Linked DNA regions of Lytechinus pictus. The protein of the gene in region 2 purifies or fractionates together with the protein of the main gene of each other region. This does not show direct contact. Links are inferred from orthologs where the notes say so. Each region holds a gene or a part of one and is shown on either strand. Other genes may lie near its edges.

Evidence for each region.
Region 1: the proteins of ubiquilin-1-like (region 2) and 26S proteasome non-ATPase regulatory subunit 4-like purify together in Drosophila melanogaster (affinity purification with western blotting; 3 studies listed by BioGRID, with this or other methods). This does not show direct contact. The link is inferred for Lytechinus pictus from reciprocal best matches to the Drosophila melanogaster genes Ubqn and Rpn10.

The regions. Positions count from the first base shown.
Region 1 is NC_087256.1:4,229,208-4,237,174, reverse strand, and holds the start of 26S proteasome non-ATPase regulatory subunit 4-like, read right to left. Parts: upstream 3,041-7,967; 5' UTR 2,963-3,040; coding exon 2,937-2,962; intron 1,002-2,936; coding exon 861-1,001; intron 1-860. UniProt on the Drosophila melanogaster protein: Binds and presumably selects ubiquitin-conjugates for destruction.
Region 2 is NW_026974140.1:5,441,974-5,449,558, forward strand, and holds the start of ubiquilin-1-like, read right to left. Parts: upstream 3,044-7,585; 5' UTR 2,957-3,043; coding exon 2,840-2,956; intron 1-2,839. Other genes in the region: uncharacterized protein LOC129260988, read left to right, coding at 7,214-7,424.

The DNA.
Region 1 (7,967 bases), on a different chromosome or scaffold from region 2:
ATTAGATTAATATTTTCATCTGCCAAAGTGAAAAAAAATCACTAAATGAAGTGGACATAAGACCATCTGCACAATAAACTAAATGGTAGTTAGCCCAATGTCAATAATAGACCAAGATATGTTTGAATAAAGTGGCCATTGGATCTAATTAATAGTAAACCAAGTGGGTTACGCCATGAATCATGGCTAAACCCACTTGGTCTACTATTAAATAGATCCATTGTGTTGAGAAGATGATCTGAGAATTAGACCATCTGCAAGTAGACCAAGTGAATAAAACCATTTATCCCATATCTCATATCAAGCTTCCTCTTTACATTAAAGTAGTCTATCATGGAAAATTTCATATTTCCAATTATTGATGAAATTAGAATCACAGCACTGGAGACAGACAATACATTAATCTTCTCTACCATGGCATCCTACTGCATAATTAGTCTCATACATGTTTCTGGTCTCATCTGTTATACAGATGGTATCCATTCCAACATTGCCAGATACATGCGGCTGAATCGTAATCAATAACATAGGGCCTGAGAAAAAAAATCGATTAGAATTATAGTTAATGATTAATTTAAAATGAAAATAACTCATGGCCTGAAAAAAATCTGAATGCAGAACATTGTCTGAAAACTTGCATCTGTGTACTTGCTTAATGATTTGCCTGCATTTTATGGCATTGACACCTACATGTATATCTCCCTGGATGTTATTTCTAAGAATTTTGGAAGTAACATTATGACATAATAAGATGCACCAATAAAAAATCAAATCATACTGCTCCTATTAATCAAAAGGCTGAATTACTTCAACCATGATTCAATAATAACAATTAAAAAAAAATTGAAGACAATACTCACTCTGAGAGGGTGATAAGACCAACAGTGTTTTCAGGATTAGAGCGGGTCTTGGAGAGACATACGAGATTGACTGCATCTTGCTGTGCTTGGATGCGGGTTGGAAGAAAATCTCCATTCCGCATGTATTCACTGGTGTCAACACTGTTTAAACACACAGAAACAACATAAATGATATGAAAGGACGGTGCCTTCATCAGATATTCTAAACTGTTTAAATTTTGTTCAACCTACATGGAGGAGGGGGACATTGAAATCTCACATACATGTATGTATGTGAAGATATAGCTCTCATGGCTATGCTTTAATAACAAAAAGTTGGCAGTCAATAATAAGATGACCAAGCTAAAAGAGCAAGACAAGATGAGAAAGAGCGAAATTAAGGACCCCGAGTCTGACGGGACCCAAAGTGAAATTGACAAATCATATTTTAATTGAAAGCTTATAGAGTAACAAACCCAGATTTCGACATGTTCTACCATTCGACATGGCAAACTTATTCCACAAGCCAGCACAGTCAATCACCACAACTCACACCAAACATATAGAGGTCTAGACAGCTGGCAGCCATCTGTTTCAAGGGGTTTTTAAACATTTTTTATTTTTTTATTTCTCCTACATGTAGTACACAGACTAGCCAGCAGGCTCCTGGAGATTAATGTCATATCACTGACGTGCTTAATATCCATGGAGCCAGGGACGGGATGCCATTGCACTACACGTACAGTAAGAGTTGCCACGCTCTAACTTAATGGAAATCGCACATTTAATTTAGGGTTTGAGCCCAAACTTATGTAAATGGGCTACAATATCATTTCAATCCGTTTGGCTCAAAAATAGTCATATTTTAAAATAACATTACACATAAAATGAATGAAAATATTAAAAGTAGAGGAGCGTTTACTCACATTCTGTTATTTTCGCCATCTTGGCGTCTTTGTTATCGTAGCCTGGTTACAAGACGCCTATAGAGGTCGACAATATCATGAGCAGTGCTAACTTAGATAAAAAAATTACTTGCATCGGCCAATAAATATCATGATTCATGATATTTATCAGCCGATGAAGTATCATGAATTGTACATTTATCGGCCGATGCAAGCCAAGTATTTAACGATTCATATTTATCGGCCAATGCAAGTATTTTTTAAAATCTAAGTTGACACTGCTCATGATGATATTGTTGCCCTCTATACACCTCTTTGTAGCTAGGCTACGATCACTCAAGGGTTCATTATATGCCGCCGCGCACAGAAAAATCAAGCCATAGAAGTCGTGTGTTGTGGACACCAGAAGTGGGATCCCAGCACACGCGACCCACTAGTTAGGAATCCACTGCCAAACGCGGTTCATGGTGCAACTAACCTCGCAATACGTGTACGTGTGAGTGGGCTACGATAGGCAAAGACGGCAAGATGGCGACAATAACAGACTGAGACAACGCTCCTCTGGACTCCGAGTCTGGAGTCTGGTGCTGGCTCTACTTTTAATATTTTCTATTATGTTTAATTATATAAAAAAATATCTCTTTAAGACTTTAGTGCTAAAAGCTTACAAATAGTATTGTAGCCCATTAACATAAGTTTGGGCTCAAACAAAAGACAAAACCTAAGGCTAAGCCTAACGTAAAGAAAATGAGTAGGGTGTATTTTTGCCTAACATTGCATGTTTAATTTTGGAGCAACATGGTCATGAATTCATGATTAATATTGTTGCCAAATTACTTGGTTTGTGTAAAGCAATGGCATCCCGTCCCTGGCTCCATGGAGATTAAGCACGTCAGTGATATGACATTAATCTCCAGGAGCCTCCTGGCTAGGGTGCATATATGGAACTCTTCCCCATAAATTGGATTTTAAATACACCGCAGCAATGTAAACATTACATTAAAAGCAATTCGTGGGACCGATATAAGACGATGAAAAATGCATAATCATTGAGCGTAAAGATTCAGCAACATTGCTTCCGAAAAAATGCTTAAAATGCAATATTTACATTTATCGACATGCTCTAGAAATTGAAAGTCAATATATTCAAATTTAGATATCATTCCTCATTAAATAAAGTGTCATTACTTACCAAACTACCGTACTTTCGAGAGGCATTTTTGCTGAATTCTAATGTTCTTCCAGGACTAATTACTAGCGAAGAGGGCGCTTTTATAAGATCGTATCTCTGACTGTGGCACCTGTATTTTGCTGTATAATAATTGTAAATACGTTACTACTATTGTTAAACCTTTATATACATGTATCATGTACATGTAATATGTTAAAGCCTTAATTTGCTCCCACGGGACCAAAAGGCGTTATTTCAATAAAGTTCAAAGTTCAAGTGAAAAAAATAATAAAGAAAAAAAGTCGGTGAACCAATATTTCGATCAGTGTGCTCCCGAGCACTGGTGTACGACCAAGAATAGAACAGAGAAAAGGGAAGAAAGAAGGAGGCGGATGAAATATGATATCATTTTCTGAACATTATGTTAACATATATCACAAAATTCTATTTTTGTCACGAAAATATAAAAAATTTTGCTCCCTCGCAACTTTAAATAAATTTTACGCGATACGCCACATCTATAGCTCCCTCAAAATTTTAGGCTCATTATACGCCTCTGCTCCTGAGTATATACGTCAAAAAAATTAATGCAATCATGATTATGATTATCACAGTAATTTTGATGTTTTCTTTGGTTATTTTCAATATCAAAGGATTCCGCACTTCTTCAGACCCCGTTGCTCAATAATTCAATAAAAAAAAAAAATTTTAAAAAAAAGGAGAGAAGAGAAGGCGTCATGGTGAGAGTGCCGGGGCAGACTTACTCCCGATTTTGTAACAATGAAAAAGTGTGGCCCTTGGTCTATGCGAAAAGTTGCCCTATTTGGGGCAGGGCTGACAGGCCACTGTTTTATTTTTGTAGACCCTATAGTGTGGACGTCTGTGCCTAATAAGTATTTCGTTTTCGGCATCAGATAAATTGAGGACATTTTAAATCAACCTCACAACAGTATCCTCAATTATTCCAACATATTCGAATAAGGTTTTTTTCCCCCCATCTTCTCCATTGTTAGATATACCGCACATAATAATATTGTATCCACTAACTGTCTCCTTCAATTCGTGTGGGTCTTTTTGCATGGGCCTTTTAAAAATCTTTTTTTTTTTTTAATGTTTCTTGTAGGCATCAATAAAATGAATCCAGGACTTTTGGACGGGGGATCTTAACTATAAAAAGTGAACCTTTGTAGTTTATATTCAGTTCCGTTTGCTTCAGCCTTTTCAGGGGCGGATCCAGCTTTGGTCAATATAGGGCGGACACATTTATATTTTAGTCCACATTTTCCCCCGATTGGCCACTATAAAGCTGAAGTTTTAAATGACAAGTCCGCCCCAACTAAAAAAAAGTTTAGTTGAATAAAAAAAAAAAAATCCAACGAGCATATACACACTGGAAATTTCATCAAAAAGTAATGAAATCTTCAAGTTTCGTTTTATTTTAACAAAACAGTTACTATATGCGCATCCTGGTCGGTATCAGGGGACTGATGACGTCACCAACTCACAATTTCTCAGTTATTTTATTGTTTGAAAATGTCGTTGGAAAAAAAAAATCATCTATGAATATTTTGTATATCAAATTACTATCGTAGCATTTTATGGTTCAGTCAAGTTGGCCCTTAGTGTAAAATCTGTAAAAATTGAAATATTGTATAATTCAAACAATAAAAAGCAAAAGAATTATGAGTGAGGAATGTAATCGAATCTCTCTATAGTAGGTCACTGAGTTGTGCTAAAACTGTTTTTGAACAATAAAGCGAAATTTTAATATGTAATTACTTTCTTAATTTGCATCCGATTTTGATGAAATTTTCAGCGCTATGCTAGTTTTTTTTAACTGTTTAGTGTTTATATCATATCCCCCTATTTTCCTGTTTGCAGCGGGCATGGACCTGGCAACGGAGGAGGAGGATTATTTATTATTACTTGGGGTGCTGTGACAATGCTCAGCACCCCAAGTAACAGTATATTTATCCTCTGTGGACGGGTCCATGGCAGCGGGGGTTCCATTAGAACCCTCTGTCTAGGGGCCTAACATAATTATTATGTCCCTATAAGGCATATTATGTTCCTCGATCTCAATTCAAGCAATGTATCTAATCACTTCTGATAAAGACCGTCTTAAGTGCCCTTTACACGGACCATAGTACATTAATTTAAGGCTCTTTAGTAGCCAAAGATCACTGACATGAAATAAAAACCAAATTGAAAATATAACGGGCTGCATTTTTTGTGATCGCATTTCTAAATGTTCGTTTGATAGTGTTCATCTTTTTATCAGTACTGCTACAATTTCTAAGCATTTCCCTTTTTACAATTAAAAAAAAAATAGATAAAAATGGCCCAGTATGCAAAACAATATTTCATTTTTTTTATCACACTAACTTAAAATTCCATCTATAATCTTATCTTTCTTCTTTGATGGATCTCTCCTCGAGACAGCCAGGGCAGAATGTTAGTATAGCGCCATCTATAAATCCACCCTTTTCAAGGATCTTTCATTATAGTATACGGCAAATTATAGATAAACCATGTCCCCTAGCTCCATGGATAAACTAGCAAAACAACAAAAGAAAGGCAGATAAATTTCGAAATAAAGGTGGCAAGGAATTAAAAAGATTCCGTCCTAAGTTTTTGTTATAAATTGAATAACACTTCACTAAATATACAGCGCATTCGTTATACTTTTACTGATGATTCTTGTGAAAGATTATATATATATATATATATATATAGCACTTTCTCGAGCTATGAATGCTGTAACAAGTTTTTAAGACTTTACACAATTATTTGATTATTTGAAGGTTTTTAAACAACTTGTTTAAAATTCTAACCAAGAAAACATCACCACCACCACCATCATCATCATACAGATTATCACCACCATGTTTTATCACAACTGTCATAATCATAATTACCACCACTGTCATGAAACCCGATGAATCCCCGGCATGAAACATCCATGAATATACTGAAAGCAAATCACCACCATCTGGTTTACCTGCACTCCGGTGGGCCTACACGTCTACCACAACCATAATCCCCACCCCATCACTACCACCGACACCACCACCACCCCCCACCATCACCACCACTCGGACCACCACTCACAACAACCAAATCATCACCATCTTAGGCACTCCGGGTCATCAACCACCATCTTACTCCCTTTGGCGATGAGCTGAGTGTAATATAATTATTGCGGAAGTTGTCGCCGCGGTTGTTGTCGTGGGCGTTGATGTTGTTGTTGAGGGCATGTGTTGTGGACCCGGGGGGGCCACTTACATTGACGAGTGGATACCATGCGCGACCAAAAAAACACGTAAAAAGGATGTCCTTTTCACGATAGGGCACGTTACGTACGTAACGTGATAAGGGTGTCAAAAACACAAAAATAATGAAAAAAGGGTATCTATTTCGCTAGGACAATTACGTGTTTAGGGTCGAATTTGCGGGGATGATAAAACAAAATTAAAATGTTTTATAAAGGATGTCCTTTTTGCCCCAACACTTCGTGTTTAGAGTCCAATTTTCGCGAGATGTAGAAGATGCGGTCGTACTAAACCAAATTAGGTAAAGCCGACGACCGAAAGACCCGTAACAATAAAACATTCATGTACTTGTTTAGGGGTTCATTTCAGGGAATATTTGCCAAGGGTATCGTTTTGTTTCCAATACTTGTTAAGGGTAGGGTTTCACACGCCAATACTTGTTAAGGGGTGCATTTTCAGAATATGGAAATTACGTGTTTAGGGTGCTTTTCGAGACCCCATGGTCGCGCATGGTATCCACTCGTGAATGGAACTGGCCCCCCCGGGGTTGTGGAGTTGAGCAATACTACTACAACAAAAAACTTGTATGGGATTTCCCTGAATCCCTTCAATAATGTGCGGGATTCCGCATGAGTGATTGGATAAATTCCAATCACATGACTTGACAATCGGATCACTCACTCATCAAACATGGCGACGTCGGGAGAGGTTCGGTGAAGTGAGAGGAGCATCTACCGGCGCGCTGAGACGGTGTTTGGAAGCAGATTTTCTCTTCTTTGCTAGTAAATTGGAATATATGCATGACACAATGACGGGGTGGGTTCCAACAAAGGAGGCAAAGTATGCTGTTGGTAAGTATTTTATACAGTTATCGCACAGTTCAGATTTTTTTTATCTTGAATTTCGCTTGGGAGGCCGAGGGAGACGGAATTCAGCTGCAGACAAGGGTCATTGCCCATTCGGTGCGGCAGAGCCAGAGCCACCGGGGCCGGGGCGACTGGTGGTTACCGTTGACCAGCCTCTGCTCTGCTGAGCTGATACCTTGGATTCTGAGATCCATTTTATCTCAGATAAACTATAATATTTTATCTTGTACTCAGTTAGAGTAACTTTACAATCCAATGTCTTAATCAAGTACTTTAGTATTTTTAGTTTATCTTTGTTGAAATCACTCATCCTACGAACGAGGTTGTTGAAATAATGACAAAACAATGTCAATGTCATGAGACAAGATTAAGATAACCGTAAATCTGAATTTGTATAACAGTTAGTTTAGACTACTATCTTATCTTCATTTTATCTTTGTAGACAGTGTAAGACACACCTATTGCCATTAATGAGATATATATTTTTTTAGATCTATCTAGATCTAGTAATACTATAGTAAATGTGGCTGTCAATGAGAAATGCTGTACATGTAAGTGTACTTATAGATCTATACCGTTAGCTTTCTCATCTCATTCAATCAATGAAAAATGCTTTTTACCTATATCAGGTCATGCAGATGAGATGAAACTGGCAGTCAGTAGTCGATCTAGGTCTGTCTACAATAAAAAGTACAAATCCTCTCACAAAAATTGCTACAATAAGAATAAGTAAGAATGCCACACTTCCAGAATGTCGACGTAATAATGGGTAAATTTGAAGGCGCTGATTCGAAACATCAAATAAATGAAATGCACAGGCATGTACGGTGATACACCAGCCTGGTGGTGGACTGTTCTTTCACGGATGATGATGATATTTCGCAGACACATGCATGCACCAATTTGTACACAAA
Region 2 (7,585 bases):
ATCTTGTATTTTCGACATACTGGACCACTGACTGTCCTTGTAACTAATTTTCTGCCTTTTGAAACCATGATATAGGCAACAAAATCATATGCCCTTGACGAATAAAACATGAACTATGTCCATTTTTAAATACCATCGCGGCTAATTGATACCATATTTTTTAAGCCACCGTGGACTTTTGGACATACTTGACCACCAATCGTTCTTGTAACTTATCCCAATTTATTATTTGACCCATTTAACCATGGTATAGGCACAAAAAAATCATATTCCCGAATATTGAACAAACTTTGTTGGGTTTTTTTAAAGTAGCAACAGCATTTTTTACTCCATTTTTGGAAGCCATCTTGGATTTTTGAACATACTGGACCACTGACTGTCCTTGTAACTTGTCCCAATGTATTATTTGACAATTGAAACCATGGTCTAGACACCAAAATCATATCTCTCAGGTTGATGTGATATGAGCTATGTCCATTTTAAGGATTAACAGCCATTTTAAACTCAATTTTTGGAAGCCATCTTGTAACTTGTCCCGACGTACTACTTCATCATTAAAACAATCGGATGGAAACCAAATTAAAGCCACTTAAGTAAGTAATAGATGAATTGTGGAGTTTTTAGACTACGGCATCCATTTTGGGCGCCATCTTGGATTTTCCTGGTACCCTGGAGTGCTAATATTCACTCTAACTTGTATAAATAAATTCTGTTACCCATTGGACCATGGAATATGAACCCAAATATGATTCTAGGGTGGATAATGAGTGAGTTATATCAATTTTTAGTGAATGGCGGCCATCTTGGATGACATCTTAAAAATAACCACTTTCCCGGATGCGGATTTTGGTAGATTTTTAGTATGTTATTCCTGAGGTCAAATAGTACAAAATACCGTTGAAAAATCATTTGTTGCAATTTGTTCCGGGTCAAACCATATATTGACCCGTCTATTAGTTTCTTTGGGTTTTCATGATTTTGGGTAACAAATCACATATAAACAATACAAGTAATTTGAAATAAAAAAGCAGCATACACATTATTAGTTTACATCAGAAAAAGTACAGCTTATCAACAGATAAAAAGTGATAAACATGTTGTAAAAGCAGTCACTTTGTCTCTTCTAAGTATTCCTCATCCCTTATAGTATAGTAAAGGCAAGAATGTAAATAACAGAGGGATACAAATCAGGTGATTTACCTAGAGATTAACAAATTTCTATCCTCAGAAGGCATATTAAAATATTCTTCAGTTACAAAAATTAAAAATGATAGAATATCTTACAACTTAAATCTCCATTTCCGAAAATGGCTTGTAGGTTTATTTTTCTTGGCAATACGATATTCAATATCCTTGTTAGAGGTTAAATATGCTTTATAACCATCAAAAGTTGGTGGTTTGTTCTGAAATTTACAAATATAAATGTAATATTTAAGCAAAAGAAACAAATATGCAAGGAATGTATCATCAATATAACCAAACATTTTTTCAAATGTTGAAACATTCTGTAAATCAGGCTTTTTGGTTTCCTTAATAATAGCTTTCATAACTTCATCCCAAATGGGTTTCACAACAGGACATTCAATAAAAAGATGTAAATAGGTTTCCGGGTCACTGTTACAAAATAAACAATTAGGGAAGTCCTTCCTTTTAATTTCATGCAGGAAATCATTCAAACCTATTGCTTTAAAAAAATAAACTTGAAATAAAAAGAGCGCACACGTGTCATTATAGTATAAATACATTTTGATTATTTCTTCCCTTTTCCCCCATCAAAAAGCAAAATTTAGGAGTAATCGAGGAGGGTGCAAAAGCGCACCCCTTTGTCCATAGACGGTTGTTTGCTCATAACAATTGCTTAATGATATTTATCGACTGAAACAAGTATTTTACGATTCGTAATATTTATCGGCCGATTAAAGTATTTCTTAAATCTAAGTTGGCAGCTCTACATGCGTGTGGTATCTTGGTATCGATAACAAAAGACTCCAAAATGGTGACGTAAACAAACTGGGTAAGTAAACCAGGGTAGGAATTAATTTTTTTTTTTAGGGGAAAGAAAAAAGAATTTTTAGGGGCGATTTGGGCTGTCATGGGGGCAAAATCGCCCGTCGCCCCCGTGTAATTCCGACCCTGAAGTAAACGCTCGTGCTCTTATGTTTTTTTCAAATTTAGTACTATTTTTCAATAAATATAAGGACCTTTATTAAAAATGGGGGGTAAATATTGTTTTGGCCCATACGTTAGTTTGGGCTAAAAACGTAAAGTAAAGGAAAATGTGTGATTTAGATTTTAGGTTTACTTTCACCGTGGGAATCCTATGCCTATACAGGGAGTTATGGCATGCCGTCCCAGGCTTCATGGGGAGTAAGCCTACGTAGTAAATAATTTTACTCCCCAGAAGCCTCCAGGCTACTGCCAGTGCCACTGGTAAGCTCCAACGTAACGTTACTCATAATTCATATTTACATGAGTCTGATGAGACAATTTAACTGCTAAAAATGGGCTTTCACGTCATTAGATACGAACATCTTTATTACTATCAGTATCACCCATTAACAAAAAATCGCATTACAAGTTAGTCTGGGTTAAAATCTTAAAATAAATGCACGTCCTGTGACTGTGCTAAGCCTAAGGCTAAGCTAAGGCTAAGTCCAGTATGGCTATGCCTATGGCGCTACGGCGGCGTTGCGCATTGTGAAACGCTGAGAGTGCAGTGAGAGACTGTGGTCTGTGAGTGTAGAGTGGATCATTCATCGCGCCGTGAATAAGCAATATTGACAAACTTCACCTACACTACAGTCGTTGCTAAACATGGACCCTCAATCACATATATTACCTGTTTAATTGTAGCATCGGGTTTGATTTCTATTGTTTCTTTGTCTTTCGGTGTCTTGACGACAACATTGATGATATCTTTAGCAGTGGTTCCCGAAGATTCTGTAGGCTCCGCCATGTTTCCAGATTTGTGTTTTAACAAATTGACCTCTCAAGTGACCGAATTTGTCTAACTAAGTTATGGAAAGCTACATTTGTAATGTGTTGTTGTTTGTACTAACTATTTTTTTCTACATTTACCATTTTCATGGTATTACTACAATAAATAGATTCGGGGATGTGGATGGTTTATATACATTGAAAAGTTTCCATTCATTTTTCCCATTTGAGTGTACTGAAGTCATTGATCAAATCAATGCCGTAACTCCGGACTGCAACATTTCCCACATCTCTATTTTATCAATTATTATATTTATAGGCCAAGTGGATCGACTTACAATCTAAGCCTAATTTGCTCAGAATTTTTGATATTGCATCATTTCTGAATATGATTTCACTTATCTCTCTTTGCATCATAATACTGTTAACCTTATTCCCGATTTCCATTCTCATCTCACATCTATCGGTGAAAAAAATAATGATAATTTTCATTTAAGGCTTTATATAATTCAATTCAATTAAACATTTATTTCCAAAGATAAAAGCATTAATACAATTTCAAAAATTTAACAACAATGGAGGTACTCTGTAAGCAGTGCTTGTGACGAGTGCACCGTGATAGAAATAAAAAAAACATATCCATACAAAGTACATTGACTGATTGATTGATTATGGTTGATTGATTGATTGGTTGATTGATTGCGGATTGATTGATTGATTGATTGATTGACTGACTGATTGATTGATTGATGATCGCTTTATTTCCGCATTCAATGCATCAGATATAAGTTTATAAAGTAGTACACTGCAAAAACTCCGGTGTTGATTTAACACCAGCCCGGCCTATGTCCACACTGAGAAGTATTGAAATAGCACCACTTTGGAATCAAACCGATGCTGTTTTAATACTAATTGGTGTTGTATAAACACCTATCTGGTGTTAGACCAAAACGAAACTTGTGTTGTTTAACAATTCTCTGCATGGTGTGGACATATATAGATTCCGGGCTGGTGTTAATTCAACACCAGAATTTTCGCAGTTAGTATGTACAAATCAATGTAGGCCTATATAACAAAATAATATTGTTAAAGTATAAGCATTGGATCAATAATGTTAAACAAAATTTGATTTGATTTGATTTATTTTTTCTTCTGCATTCATATAATTATAACATTTCAATTTTCATTATGTAACAAACATAATATATCGGTAATTGATTTAGGTATGAATCATAAAGAAAAAAAATACAAAATAGAAAGTCATTCTAAACAAATATGATCTACAACCAACAAAGAACATTTTAACATTTACAGTTTGCAGGAGAAGGATTGTCATTATTAGCAGATTGCTTGAAAAAAAATGACAACCCCGGAATAAAACTCATTAAATTATTACATACATTTATAAAGCAGAATGGAAATGTTATTTTGTTTATAATTGTATAATGATGAAGATGGAGATGAATTAGGATGATGGTGATAATGGTGAAAATGAAGGCCATGATGGAGATGGAGATGATGATGATGGTCATGGGAGAGTACTTGGTGATGATCAAATCACAGGAAAAATGATTTAATCAAAGAACGAGATATAGATCCAACAAAAGATTATTGCAAATCGAAGTGGGAGTTCTTTTGAGGTTTAGAACTGAAAATGGGACATTCTATTCAGCTATTTGATCATGAAAAGTATGGGTTTTGCTACAGAAATGATGCGAGCGCGAAGCGCGTGCTGAAAATTTTTCATATTCCAATCTGAAAAGCGGACATTTTGAGCACGATTTTAGATAAAGAACAAGTTGTGTATCTCAATCTCGCTTGCTGATTTCTCTGTAAAAACATTACAATCTTATTTTATTTTTTGCACATGCGGAATTATTGGGGGGGGGGGCAAAACGATATGTTTGCCCCCCCCCCCCAATATTTCCATTGGTGGGGCGATCGCCCCCCTGCCCCCCCCCCCCAGGATCGACGCCTCTGCCCTGGGTAACCTTTCCCACCTTCAGTGCCACTTCCAGACCTACACATCCAAACGTGTATGGGGGGCAGCAAAATGGAGGGCAACGAGGACTACGAGGTGCCCAAATATCCTCGTGTATTGGTAATTTGATGACCGAATGTATAATTTCTGCAAGTTTCATATCATGTTAAAATAATGGCTATAAATAATAATTAAAAAAATGTTCGCTCGCTCGAAAATTAAAAACTGTGAAGTTGATATTTGGGCAATGATTATCAGCCCCCCTTGAAGAAATTGTGCCTATACGTCCATGCCTACTACCCCTCCCCCATCCACCTTGCTCATTTTTGTCGCTTGCCCCCCCCCCCTGACGAAATATGCCAGGTACACCACTGAGCAACTATATAATTATTCAAAATATGCAAAAAAAAATTGCTATCGAGCTTTGAAGTTCACCAAGTTTGCAAGGTCTCGAGAAATACACAAGTAAAATAATATTGCGTTTTTAAACCCCACGGGATCACGACGTTGAGTTTGAACCTCTATTACTCAGTCAAAACCCATCTCAGTTTCACAAAATTTTACATCATAGTTCAGAATTATATACTTAATTCACTCATATTGCTGTGCTCTTTAAAGAGAAGTAGCACCTTCAATTTTAATGAGGTGTGAAAGGCGACAAAAAATATCTATAAAAAAAATTGACATTTATATAAAAAAATAAGAAATACAATGAATGCTGCACTTTATTTAAAATCCATGTCATTTTCACAAAATGGTTCATACTGTACCCCCCCCCCCCTCCGGAGTCAAATACACAACAACAGTGGTGTACCGTCGGGTCACGGCATGGGGGGCACCAGCAAAATTTTTGAGTCACTTAGTGAGCGCGCGAAACGCGCTCAGTTAAACGTATATCTCACTGATCATATGCGAGCGCGAAGCGCGAGCTGAAATTTGTTTATATTCAGACCTAAAAAGGGACATTACAAGCAATTTTTTGTAATCATGATACGTACCTATCTCGCTAAACAAACAATGCGAATTTTTGTTTATACTGACCACAAACAGGGACATTTTAAGGACTATATTTTAGCCAATCCATTAAGAGTATACATATATCTCACCCCCTCTCACCATGAAATCTAATGCGAGTGCCAATTAAGTGCATGCTGATTTTTTTAAGGATTACATCTAAACACATGGAGCACTTTTGTAGTAATTGTAATCATGATTATCATACGCATCTATCACTAATCGAATATTGCGCGCGCGAAGCGCGAGCTGAAGATTTAGGAAATTCAGACCTGAAGAGGGGCATTCTATATAAGGCTTAATTGTTTGTAGGAATTCACGAAGACCAAAGATACGTATTTCACAGTGATGCGAGCGCAAAGCGCAAGCTGAAAATTTTTGATATTCCGGATCAGAAAAAGGGACATTTTAAGCCTGATTTTAGGAATTCATGAAGAGCAGACATATCTTACCAATTCACTAATGCGAACGTAAGCATGGACAGGAAATGTTTTATATCAAGGCCTTAAAATGGGGCAGTTACTTTAAGTATAGTCACGAATAAGAAGCACGTGTCACTATACATAAAACAATATGTGTATATTGACTTGAAACGGGAGGTTTTAGTACAACAGGATTACATATCTCGTTAAACAGACAATGTGAGCACGAGGAACAATGGAGACATATAGGCCCTGAGCAAATTATGTTTCATAAAGTTATGAAAAAATGTTTTTTTATGTAATATAACATAACATAATATTACATTATAAATATAATGAACAATATCTTCTTTCTCGCTACGTTTCTCTCCCTTTCTCCCTCTATTTCTCCTTTTCCCCCTTTTTTTTGGCCAGCCCGGCGTAGTTACGCCACGTACTGTATTTGACTGGCGCCCGGGGAAAATGTACAGTACGCTTTGTTATTATCATCTCAAAGAATAATTTCAGTTTGCGAATTTTATAACACATTGGAATTAAAAAAAAAACAGAAACTTCATCAAGACCTTTATTAAAAAAAATAATGATAATAACAGACCAGGGTAATAAACAGCGGCCAAAATCCCGGGCCAAAAATTAATGAAGGCCGGTCTTACCGTTTTTGTAGTCATCGTTGTGTCGAAATCAAATCATGGTCACATAAGAACTGTCTACCATCATACCATGGCGTTCCATAGGCTTCTAATGTAATGCTTATATCGCATACGGATGTACACGTATGGTTAACGTACGCGAAGATTCGAGTAGGAGTTAGAACTTAGACTTTTGCCCTTAGAAAATTATTTTGATTCATGCTTGATATATGAATGTCAACATGTCGAGAACAAAGAAATTACTAAGCAGACCTGAACTTCCAAGTCTTGATGAAATCACTAAAGACTTGGAATCGGCGCCGAGCGATGATGTCGCGTTTACATTCTTGAAGAAGGACATTACCGATACAGCTGGTGCTGCGCTTGGCGGGATTCCTCATCAGGATTCCCATTCAAAATCAAGAGATTTCCTCCCCTCCGGTAAGTGAACCCACATCGACCCAGATACTCTTCCATTGCATCTTTTATTTATTCTGATTAAAGGTCAAGTCCACCCCAGAAAAATGTTGATTTGAATAAATACTACTATTACTAGAGAAAAATCAAACTAGCATAAATTAAAATCTAACTAGAATTTAGTA